Linked DNA regions of Drosophila melanogaster. The protein of the gene in region 2 purifies or fractionates together with the protein of the main gene of each other region. This does not show direct contact. Each region holds a gene or a part of one and is shown on either strand. Other genes may lie near its edges.

Region 1 (4,677 bases), on a different chromosome or scaffold from region 2:
TCCGAAGTTTTGCTTAGAGCAGTTCGCCAGACCATTGCATTATATTGTACATTATATATATGGGTGTACAGACATTATATACATATATATATATATACATACTTGCATGCATTGTATTTGCGACTCTACTTAAGGCAAGTCCACCTTTTGGACTGGCTCTCCACCTAATCGCAATCTCTCGGTTTCTGTTGCTGCATGTTCTTAATACTATTTCACCTAGCTCCCCACCCCTCCCCACATATTATATTCAATTTTTTTTATTTAACCAAAATTTTAGTTAAAAAAGAGACAATTCAGATTGTAATCTATTTAGGCAAGTGGTAGGGTATCTCTAGCATTAGAAGAAGCTAAAAGTAAAAACAATTTCGTAAAACCAAAATTTTTTCTCTAGGATCATAATTATTAAGCTGAGCTAAAAACGAAAACAAATTTTAACTAACTAAGAAGGGACAAAATTGAAATAAGATCAAAAAAGGAAAACATGTACATTTTGGAAGAAAAATCAAAGTCCACAAAATTTTAACGAATGAGAGGCAAAAAATCAGACAAAAATGAACCACAAGAGAATGAAAAAAAAAAACAAAAATGGAAATAGGTTTCTAAGATGTTTTAATATATTTTGTAATAACAATGCTCGAGTATTTTTCATGTATGTAGTTTTTGATCCAAAATTGAGCGATCAACAAAGGCAAAGGGGTTCTCAACGATCGGTTCCTCGAGAGGATTTGCCAATCATCGATCATAGGGCTCTATTGCTGAACGCTTTGTTTTGGGCACAACTACCTCCTCCGCTTGGCACCGGCAGTAGCCTCGTCTGTGGAGGATCTGGTGGTCCGCTTCCGTTTCTGGCTGCTAGGGGGCTTATCTTCGGCAACTTCTTCTTGGGATTCGGATGCCTTTGCCTGCTTCTTTTGGGCTTTCGGTTGTCTCTTCGTTTTGACCAACTCTTTGGATTGCTTCGCTTCCTTTGAATCGACTTGAGTTGGCTCTTCCTCGGATTTCTGTTCCTTTTTGGATTTACGCGAAGTTGAAGTTGAAGTTGGTGCCTTCGTTTTTGATAAAAACAATATTTAGTTAATTTTTTCTGGACTTATTGGGCCTTCCCTACCTCGTTTTCCTGTGCTTCCTCTGTGGACTCCGACTTCTTTGGCGATGCTAGAGCCTCGGACCCCGGTAAATCAATTTTAGATAACTTCTGCGTGTTGATCTGTTCCTTGGACTCCTGCTGGTCACCTAGAATCCCTACAATCCGATCGTATACCTCCTCCACAGTGGGAAACTTGCGAGCACGTGGTGGACCCCGCTTTAGACCCGACCAAAGTGCCACCTGCTCCTGCTTTCCCATTCCGCCGGCGCTCAAACTTAACTCGAAGGCTCCTCGCCGTGGTGCTCCAAGTGCATTCAGCTGGAGCTGAAGCTGTTGGAGACCACGCTCCCGGAGAGCGGAGTGCAGCTCCTCCGCTCGACGACGAAAGACTCGTCAGGATCGGCAGTGCTCTACGTAGAGCACCGGCGCATTGGGATCCAGCTCTTCGCCTGCATCCCGCTCAGCGATTGGCGCCTGTAGAATCGTTTGGAAATGCATTTAGCTATTGAAATAATGTAGTATTTCAATCGTACCTCTGCTTTTTTGTTCCGTTTTGGTGGCATGATCCTAAAGTAATCAGAATTTTTAAGTAAATGGCGCACTTTTTATTTGGCAGTGCTGCCAGATGGTTTAGTAACACTAGGGTGTCAATCGCGACTGCATCCCTGGAAACTATCGATTTGCCGATAACAGGCGTTAAACGACGCGCGATTCCCAATCAAACTGAGTAAACATTTAATTTAATCAACGTAGTTTCAATAACGCCAAGATGTCGCACCTGATGCCCCGGCGGACCAGCGAGTTCCGTGGCGATGTACTGGAGGAGCGAGGCACTGCCGATAAGCGGCAAACCAGGTGAGCATCGAAATCCAACTGATCAAATCTTGTCAACGATGCAAATGCGTATCCTTTTCCAGGGCAACAAAGCGGAGCGCAGCCACGCACACTCCGTCCTCCAGCCAGGCGGCACCCAGAAGGTATGCACAACCATTTGATTATCGAAGGCACAACCAGTAATGTTTGAATCCAATCCGCATAGGCCGTCCGCATCGCGTCTGCCGCAGCCGCTGAACTTGGAGCGCGATCGGGCCAGTCAAATGGGCGTGACGCCCAAGCGAGGCCACCGGTTTGTGCCCTCCACTGCGGAGCGCGCCATTGCGCCACACTCCGACAAGAAATGGGTGGCGGAGAGGGCACAGCAGATCCTGGAATACCTACATGGCATTCAGAACAGCGAGGCGCCCACTGGACTTATTGCGGATCTATTCAGTCGGCCCGGGGGTTTGCGACACATGACCATCAAGCAATTTGTTTCCATTCTCAACTTTATGTTCCACCACATCTGGCGAAATCGCGTGACAGTGGGCCAGAACCATGTCGAGGATATTACCAGCGCAATGCAAAAGCTACAGTATCCTTATCAGGTAAGCAACTCGGATGCTCTTAGGTTTCCAGTGTTCGTTTAATTCTTAAATCCACTTGTGACTTGCAGGTGAACAAATCATGGCTTGTATCGCCAACAACACAGCATTCATTCGGCCATGTGATCGTTCTGCTGGACTTTCTCATGGACTTTTTACCGCCTCTGCCCTCGTCGGATGTGGTGGAGGAGGAGTTTCCGTTTATGGAAACCATGGAGCAGCCCAGCTCGTATCTGAATAGCATGCACTGCGAGTCGACGACCATCATGTCCACCACACAGGCGCACGCCATTCAGCTAGATGAAGACGTCAATGGTCTGCTCTTCGAAGAGGCTAGCAAATGCATTGCCTTGTGGGATCAGGAGCTTACCAATGAGGAGGCCAAGCTGCAGGCGGAGACCAGGGATCAGGTGATCAGCAAGAAGTGTGATTTGCCCGATCGCAAAGCCTTAGACCAGCTAATCGGCGATCTGAAGACGAAACTACAGCAACTGGAGAATAAGTTGCATGATCCCAGTGAAGACAATAAACTGAACAAACTGGAACGTCTTACCAAAGAGCACGATCAGCTTGCCCAACAGCTAGCTGCCAGTGAAGAGGAGCTGATCAAGAAACTGAAGTTATACGAACAGCTGTCTGCCCAGGTAGAAGAAAAACAGTCTAATCTCCGCCAGCAAATGAAGTATGAAAAGCGTCTGGAGCAGGCGGTTAACAGGCAGAAGTTCTCCGCCCAGCAGCTAAAGGAGCTTCAAATGAAGTGCGACGATATGGAAAACTACTCCAAGGCTTATGAGCGCCAGGTGAAGGAGGTGTCCGAGCTGGAGCTGCATCAGCAGGTGATGCTGTCGCGCGCCAAGCAAAAGCAACTGGATTCCGTTGAGGTCTTTAACTCGCACGTGCGCCACCTGAGCATGGACCCGGTGATTTGTGGCCTGATAAAGAGCGGCATTGGCCAGCAATCGGACCTTACTCTGCCACTAAATCCCAATCAAGAGGACATCTCGGAGAGGGTGCAGTGCCTGGAGTTGCTGGGCAAACTTCTGCAACAGCACCGCCAGCAGAATATCGATCGGCGTCAGATGTTGGACAAGCAGGTGGCCAAGGTAAAGTCTGATTCCATCGAGTTAGACACCGAAATCGCCACCATGGACTCTCAGTTGCGGGCGCAGAAACAGCGTCTGACCAAAATGGAGGCCAGTTATCGGACCAAGCGCGACATGCAGGCGCAGCACAGGCAACAGCTGCTCGAGGATCAGTACGACCAGACCGCCCGTCTGGATGAGTTGGAGAAGAGGGAGAAGCAGGCGCTGGAAAAGCTGGAAGCCAGCAAGCAACGGAACGAGGATCTACTCACCGCTGCTGAGCAGTTTCAGGAGCAGGATCTCAAGGCCCGCCAAGATCGCCTGGAAAAATGCGAGCAGAAGCTGGCCAAAGCGGAGGACCAGCTGCTCGCCGTGGAATCAAAGGTCAACGCGACTCAGGCCAAGCTGAACGAGGTGGAGCAAAAGGTGTACTCCGCCAAGCTGCCATCCTTTCAGCCCGTGCTAGATGCCATCAAGAATCATTGATTTGATCCGGATGTTTTGTTGTAGTCCAGTTGATCTGTAAGGAATTTATTAAAGAGTATTCTTTGTTTTCAAATTAAAAAAGACAATGAAGCTGTCTGCAATGTTCAATGTTTTATGTTTTATGAAATGCATTTATTTTTGATTACATTTGAATTAGGTAAATTGAGTTGAACACAGCGGTTCCTGGACAAAGGAGGGGATGATACTCCATAATATCAGATTTCTTAAGTTCTTTATTGCCACACGTATTACGGATTTCATTACGGATCTCCGCTGCCTTTTTTGGGATTACAAATTGCACTTGGAACGGTTTAGCTTTACATGGTTATACATATGTATACACTGAGTGGTGGGTAAATACGGCAAGGGTAACTTAAGCGTAGGTATCTATAAATATTAAATAATATTATCATTTGGCCAATTTTGTGTAGTTTAGCGTGCGATTGACTTGTGCCACAAAAAAGTTGCAGGGAAACGTTTGCATTTATTGCTATTAAATTAATTAATTTGGATATTTCATTTGTGTGCGCTTTTTTCGTATTCGTAGATATATATTTTGTCATTTTTGGGCTTAAAATAAACGAAAATGAGGTATTATTTC
Region 2 (3,483 bases):
CTTGACGATTGAACCACCGAAAGAGTACGAATTGTTGTGGCACGAGTGGGTCTTGAATCTAGTTTGCCAGACGAGTAGTCAAAAAAAATATTTACCCTTTCAAGGGTATCATATTTATGAATTAAGCTCATTATCCCTATTTTACAATTAAGTGTAAAATTTTATTTGCTTTTGACCAATTAAATTTTCATAATTTATGGCTTTACGTAGTTAGTACTCTATCACACAACAACAAAAATTAAATGATTATTGATTAAACTCATTATTCAATTGTTAAAATTTAAAAAAAAGTTTTCGTTAAAAACTTTTTGTGTTACATTTAACAACAACGACAAAAATATTGAAGTGTTCTAGTATTAGCAGTATATTTCATCTCATTTCAAAGAAAAGTACCAACTAATCTAAATGTCCCGAATTAATTTTTTTTTGGTTTTTTAAATTTATTTATTAAAAGAATATTAAAATATACATAAAATATCCTTGTAAAACATGTGATTCTCTTGGCTTATTAAAATATCGATCGTTTTAAATAATTAAATACCAAATTATGTTATTCAATATAAATTTTATTGGCAGTATGTTTTGGAAATAATAACGTCCTGTTTGACAAGTGAACATATTGTAGATGTTCAGATACAGATACAGATGGTTAGCCATCCTAATATTTCTAACCTATAGACCTGAATTTTTAACAAAAATAGACTTTTTTAAACTAAAAAAAATTATTTTAGGTTGCCATTCGAAATACGTAAAAAATAAAATATATCGAGATACACGAAAAGAAAGTGAAGGCGCCGCACTCACTGCGAGACGAACTCAGAACAATTAATACAAAAACTAACTCTTTGACAATCTGTCGGCGTCTCAATCAGTTGCACCATCGTTTTGGTTTTCGGTACTGTGCCCAAAACTCGTAGAAGCATTTAGACGATTTTCGTATCACTTGGTACAAAACCCCTGGGTTTGTAACGGTTTTTTGGGCGATGCACAGCTTAAAGCAAATATATATATATACAAGTATGCATTACCAGGCTGACGCAATTGTTGTTGTGGCGACTGCAATTTGCTCTCTGGCGCAGTTGGCGTCGACTGCGCTGCGGCAGAGGTGGAAAGACTGGTGGACGATGGGGCGTCCACCCTCTTGGCATCCAGCTTCTGCTTCCTAAGCACCTCGGCCAGCTGCCTATCGAGTCCAGCCTCCTTGAGCTTGTTGAAATCCAGCTGAATCTTCTTAATTATTCGCTTGGGCGGAGCTGCAGCAGTTTTGGTGGCGTGTGGAGGAGGGGCGCTGGTGGGATTACCGGGCTTCGGTTGATTAGAAGTGGTGGTCATTGGCGCCGGTGGACCCATGATGACCTGTTTGCTGGAGTTGTCCATTTCGCGGTTACTTTAAAAATCGCATAAGACACTGGCACTGTTTATTCCACGAAAATGACGACAGAAATCGAAATTCTTAAACACTCGTTGCTTCGATTTTTCTCAAGTCCGACGTAATCCACGCAGTGACATTTAAATAAAACACGCTTTTCGAGGCCTAGTACTTGTCACCAACACTAGTTTACTTTAGTTTAGATCGCTGTCTAGACATTTTTCACTTTTTAAATTCTAAAAAAGATCAAGCATGTGCAGCTCGAATTAATAGTGTGACCGCTTTGAAAAAGTAAAATATTCTCAAAGCTTCGGAACGAAAATATACCAAAATATTATATGTAATTCTTTAAAAAAACATCGCAAAAGGAATATATAAGTTATTTTATGTATATTACAGTTTGCAAAAATTTGACTATCATTAAGAATTTTAATGGATTTATGAAACATTCTATTATTTATTTAATACTTTAATCCTGCACACGAACTATCGATTGACTCTGATAAACTACCACCCCTAACCGAATTGGCGTTTCTTGACAACCCTGTTCTGTACAACAAATTTTCATGAAATTTTACCAACGCAAAACGTTTTTCCTTCGTGCGGTTGAAAACTAAAATAAAGTTTACAAAATGGACTTCCAAAACCGCGCCGGCGGCAAGACCGGCAGCGGAGGCGTAGCCTCCTGGTCGGAGACGAACCGCGACCGCAAGGAGCGACTGCGTCAACTGGCCCTGGAGACAATCGATCTGAACAAGGATCCGTACTTCATGAAGAACCATCTGGGCTCCTACGAGTGCAAACTCTGCCTGACGCTGCACAACAACGAGGGCAGCTATTTGGCCCACACGCAGGGCAAGAAGCATCAGGATAATCTGGCAAGAAGAGCCGCCAAGGAGGCAAAGGAGGCACCCTCTTCGCTGCTGGCGCCCGAGAAGCCCCGCGTGGAACCGAAGAAGTTCGTCAAGATTGGACGACCCGGCTACCGGGTGACCAAGCAGCGTGAACTCAGCAACGGCCAGCAGTCGTTGCTCTTTCAGGTGGACTACCCGGAAATCACGGAGTCCATTGTTCCGCGTCACCGCTTCATGTCCGCCTACGAGCAAAAGATCGAGCCGCCAGACCGCAAGTGGCAGTACCTTCTCTTTGCCGCCGAGCCGTACGAGACCATAGGGTTCAAGGTGCCGTCCCGCGAAGTGGAGAAGAGTGAGGGCAAGTTCTGGACGCACTGGAACCGTGACACCAAGCAGTTCTTCCTTCAGTTCGCCTTCAAGTTCGAACCTAAGATCCTGCCGCCACCGCCGCCGAATCTACATAGGGCACTAGGCCCCCCAGGCGGATTCCCCATGCCGGGACCGCCACGTCCTGCTATGCATCCCATGTTCAATGGCGTTCATCCACCGCCACCCATGCTTTCAAACAACTAATTCATCGACAATGTTTACGGGATTTCTCCAAACGCAAGCCGATTACCACAGAAATATTCAAATAATAAACAATTTTCTACTTAATACAACTCGAGGGTTTTTGTATTTGTGTTTCTAGCTTAATAAATTGAAAAAATATTGCTGGTTTTCTTTGTAGCTGTACGACTTACAAATCGATCGCGTTTAAGGTAATTATCTTGGATTCTATAATTTCTGCTTAAATTAGGTAATGTACAACTTATTAATACACACTTGGCTGGCCATCTCCGTTCGTCAATTACTTTTAGATCTTTTCGCGCTTCTTGAAATTCCTTTTCGAAGCGCAGCGGGTGATTATATTAGAAACGTGTGGCTTATGCTCGAAGATCTTCATTAACTGATTCTGTGCCTCGTTGATGCCATCGGTAATAATCTTGCTGCGTTGAATGTTTCCCTGCAAAGTAAATTGGTTTTATGTTGAGATTCAAGCATAATGGATATAAGTATAAGAGCGCACCTTTAGCAGTTCAGTGACTCGCTCAATTTCGCTGTGCTTCTCCTTGTCCTTTTCGAGATCCTGCAGCATGGTCTCCAGCCTGCCCAGACTAAAGACTTCCGATTCATTCTGTAAGAAATCAGTTCAGTCAAAGTAGCCTACCAATACTTTCGTGCCCATTGCTTACCAAGTCCTCCATTTGCGAGCGTAAA
Region 3 (4,221 bases), 2.3 Mb from region 2:
GCATGTAAGTGAAGCCCAGCTCGTTGACGCCCACATCCGCATCCATGTGATACAGTTCATAGAACTTGCCGACTTTAAAAAACAAGACGCAGTCATAGTTGTCCGACTTAAGGACCCACCACTGTCGAACTCCCGGCGACAGGCCATTGAGGAACTTCTCCGGCACATGCAAGGTGCTCTTATCGTAGTCCGGATGATCTGGACGTCTTCCCTCCTTGTCCTTGATCTTGTCCGGTTGCAGGAACTCTAGTTTCTGGTGCGGCCAAACAACGGGCTCATCCAGATTGGACGTGTTGGTCACGATATCATCGTAGGAAGCATCCTGCTTGGCATTGCTCTGCAGGTTCTTCAGCTTTTCTTGAAAGGTTGCACCCTCGGCCAACTGGATGGTCGACTCTAGCTTGACCTTCTTGCTCGATGGCTCATTGTTATTGTTGTTATTCAGAATCTTAGACTTTTTGCGCGATTTCTTGGGTGTCGGACTGTCCACGGACATGTCGTTCTCGCTAGGCGACACCTCCTCCGCGCCGCTGCTAACGCTATCATCGCTGGCTTCATTCTCATCCGGTTCGTAGTCGGAGGCGCAATCGGAGAAGTCGTCCTCCGACTTGGTTACCTCCATTTCCGGCTCACTGTCCGATTCCGGCTGAACGATGCGCTTCCGCTTGCGTTGACCACTGGCCGGCTCATCGTCGGAAATGGGCAACTTCCTCTTGGCCGCCGGCTTGGAAGCCTCTTTCTTACCATCCTTCACTTTTGGCTGCTGGTTCTGGAGATTCTCCTTTTCGCTCTTGGATGCATCGGGATCTGTTTTCACGCTAGGAGTCAATTTCTTTTTGTCGAAAGCTGGCGACTTGGAAAAGTAATTTAGTAGCGTGTTTGTGGGCGTCCCGCCCACGCTGGTGTTTAACTTCTTGGACATGACAATGGCCTAGAAACGTCTGCCAGGTTACTCAAAAAACCAGGATGCAGACGCTGCGATTGTGCGCCAAAACCAAAAAATATTCTGTCAAATTGTGGCTTAATAATACCGAAATAGTAGCTTGACTATTTAGTATATTTAGGGAACTCGTGCCCGTTGGAATTTTCGAATACCACTGAGGAGATTTTATTTTTTCGTTACAATTTGATGCTTCTTATATAATAAGTCATTTTTTTTCATTTTTGATCTGTGTTTATCTAGGCTTTGTTGTCCCAAAATAAATAAAGAGTGATAGTTAAGAATTAAGCAAAACAATTGATAGCCATACCTATATTTTCATCAACCTTATATTTTCAACCATATTTTCAATTCCTTTACTTTTAGATACAGAATTCTAATTAAGCAGGAAAATCGAAACTTTCCAGAATAATAACAAGAGTTATGATATTGGATCGTTCTGTTCATGAAATGTTTATTGAATTTGGTCAAATTGATCAATTAAAATCCAGTGGAATAGCCTTATGGTATTCTTTAAATGAATACCCTATATATTTCATGCTAATACTTAGTATTTTTTCAATGAACCGCATGGTATTCTAAGGCGGCTGAGCAACGGTCACTTCAATTCCAAAACAAACTTAATTTCACGAGATCGCAAAATAAACTTTTGAAATAAGCCAAAATGTCGCTAGCCGATGAGCTTTTAGCCGATCTCGAGGAAGACAATGACAATGAGCTGGAGGAGGAGGATTCGGAGATGGCCAGTGCAGAGGACGAGAGCGTAAGGAACCAAAGCAAATGTTGATCAGACCTAATGATTCCCCTCCCACAAAACAGTTGCTGGCGGAGAAGCTGGCTAAGCCGGCTCCCAATCTGATGGACGTGGATGTAACCGTGCAGTCGGTGCGGGAACTGTGCAAGCTGCGCGACTCTGAGCGCCTGAAGAACACGCTGCAGCAGATCGAGCACTATGCCAGTCGCCAGAGAACTGCAGCCGAAATGCTGGGATCCGTAGAATCCGATCCAGAGTACTGCCTCATCGTGGACGCTAATGCCATAGCTGTGGACATTGACAACGAGATCTCCATTGTGCACAAGTTCACCAAGGAGAAGTATCAGAAGCGATTCCCCGAATTGGACTCCCTGATCGTGGGTGAAATCGAGTACTTGCTGGCGGTCAAGGAGCTGGGCAACGACCTGGACCAGGTCAAAAATAACGAGAAGCTGCAGGCTATTCTCACGCAGGCCACCATTATGATTGTGTCAGTCACGGCGTCCACCACACAGGGGTAAGTTATTTGAACGGTGTAACCCAAAATAACATGTCACTGAATCCCATTCCCTTTCGCAGAACCATGCTGACACCGGCGGAGAAGGCAAAGATCGACGAGGCCTGCGAAATGGCCATCGAACTGAATAACTTCAAGTCCAAGATCTACGAGTATGTGGAAAGTCGCATGACCTTCATAGCCCCAAATCTTTCCATGATTGTTGGAGCATCGACGGCGGCTAAACTCTTGGGCATTGCTGGTGGCCTTTCCAAATTATCCAAAATGCCGGCCTGCAATGTTCAGGTGTTGGGTGCACAAAAGAAAACCCTCTCGGGCTTCTCACAAACGCAGATGTTGCCGCACACTGGCTATGTGTACTACTCACAGATTGTGCAGGATACTGCGCCAGATCTGCGACGCAAGGCAGCTCGCTTGGTGGCCGCCAAGTCCGTGCTGGCTGCTCGTGTTGATGCCTGTCATGAGAGTGTCCACGGGGAGATTGGACTGCGCTTCAAGGAGGATGTGGAAAAGAAGCTGGACAAGCTGCAGGAGCCGCCGCCGGTGAAGTTCATAAAGCCGCTGCCCAAACCCATCGAGGGAAGCAAGAAGAAGCGAGGAGGCAAACGCGTGCGCAAGATGAAGGAACGATATGCGCTGACAGAGTTCCGCAAGCAAGCGAACCGCATGAATTTCGGAGACGTAAGTTTCTGGCTTAAAAATATAATGGTTATGTATTAATCTTTGAACTTTTCTTTCAGATCGAAGAGGATGCCTACCAAGGAGATCTGGGCTATTCACGCGGCACCATCGGCAAAACTGGCACCGGCCGCATCCGATTGCCCCAGGTGGATGAGAAGACCAAGGTGCGCATTAGCAAAACGTTGCACAAGAATCTGCAGAAACAGCAGGTGTACGGCGGCAACACCACGGTCAAACGCCAAATCTCCGGAACGGCATCCAGTGTGGCCTTTACGCCACTGCAAGGTCTAGAGATTGTGAATCCGCAGGCGGCGGAGCGTTCGCAGACGGAGGCCAATGCCAAATACTTTTCAAACACATCCGGATTCATGTCAGTGGGACAGCGGACCACTTAAGAGAACAGCTCTATCCTTATTTTCTATAAAATTAAGCACTTTTATTTGGAGATTTGTCGAATGTATATTGAGTTAGGCGTAGTAAAGCTGCATAAGAGATTCGAATTGTTGTTAGCTGAGCTTGCCGACTTCCAGTTTCCGTTGAATGGCCTCCCACGAGTTGTTCAGCAGCACGGCGAGAATGCCGGCCACCGTGAACACGCCTCCGATGATGGAACAGCAATTCGTGGCGAAGTGGCCAAATGAGCTGGGAATACACAACACAACCAATAAAACTTGTAAAATTAACCATTAGCTTTGTGGCTTACTGACCTGTGTCTCTCCGCATATTTCACCATCAGTGGCGAGAGCTCGTAGCTGAAGAATATCCCCGGCATTCCGCGCTCGCGATCTGAAAGATCTTTTCGGTATCGCGTGACGGAGAATTGATTCGTGTATATGGGCTCGCCGTCGCTGTTTCCTCGCATATATAATGTGGGAACAATTTTTAAATAGTAATTGAACATTTCACTTTTGGTTTCTGCAAAAAGAGGAGAGCAGATTTTCTAGTTTACTTCATTTGTCGTTGATAAATGTATTTAATTTGGTAAGGTAATTACGAATTAAACTTCATGCTTCTAAAAACAGGTATTTCACAATTCGAACAAATGAGTATATTTTTTCCAATTTAAAAAATGAAAATGCCCCACACAACAGACCTCCGAAGTTTCCCAGAAATTCTTCGAGGAGTAAAATATAAATTAAAATGGATGCCTGTGCTTAAATAACTTAGTTTTTTTTTATTTCAGTCTTAAGTATGCTTTTTAATAATATTAATAAATAAAGAATATAAATTGATTTTAAAGCACCCGCTTTTTAGCTACCGCCCCCTATCGGCTTTCTCTAGAACGAGGCAAGCCGAGCGAAAAACAAAGTGGCAACCCTTCTATAATTT

The links.
Region 1: the proteins of Sf3a2 (region 2) and Ndc80 purify together in Drosophila melanogaster (affinity purification with western blotting; one study listed by BioGRID). This does not show direct contact.
Region 3: the proteins of Sf3a2 (region 2) and Prp31 purify together in Drosophila melanogaster (affinity purification with western blotting; one study listed by BioGRID). This does not show direct contact.

Annotation. Positions count from the first base shown.
Region 1 is NC_004354.4:13,609,145-13,613,821, reverse strand, and holds Ndc80 (Ndc80), read left to right. Parts: upstream 1-1,759; 5' UTR 1,760-1,856; coding exon 1,857-1,942; intron 1,943-2,004; coding exon 2,005-2,064; intron 2,065-2,126; coding exon 2,127-2,511; intron 2,512-2,579; coding exon 2,580-4,076; 3' UTR 4,077-4,151; downstream 4,152-4,677.
Region 2 is NT_037436.4:12,812,426-12,815,908, reverse strand, and holds Sf3a2 (splicing factor 3a subunit 2), read left to right. Parts: upstream 1-1,889; 5' UTR 1,890-2,001; coding exon 2,002-2,796; 3' UTR 2,797-2,881; downstream 2,882-3,483. Other genes in the region: CG42588 (uncharacterized protein), read right to left, coding at 1,029-1,377; Sap130 (Sin3A-associated protein 130), read right to left, coding at 3,080-3,229, 3,293-3,400, 3,459-3,483.
Region 3 is NT_037436.4:15,157,566-15,161,786, forward strand, and holds Prp31 (Pre-mRNA processing factor 31), read left to right. Parts: upstream 1-1,534; 5' UTR 1,535-1,604; coding exon 1,605-1,703; intron 1,704-1,759; coding exon 1,760-2,211; intron 2,212-2,273; coding exon 2,274-2,892; intron 2,893-2,951; coding exon 2,952-3,287; 3' UTR 3,288-3,398; coding exon of another isoform or gene 3,399-3,534; 3' UTR 3,535-3,573; downstream 3,574-4,221. Other genes in the region: Msh6, read right to left, coding at 1-922; CG7011 (uncharacterized protein), read right to left, coding at 3,399-3,534, 3,600-3,807.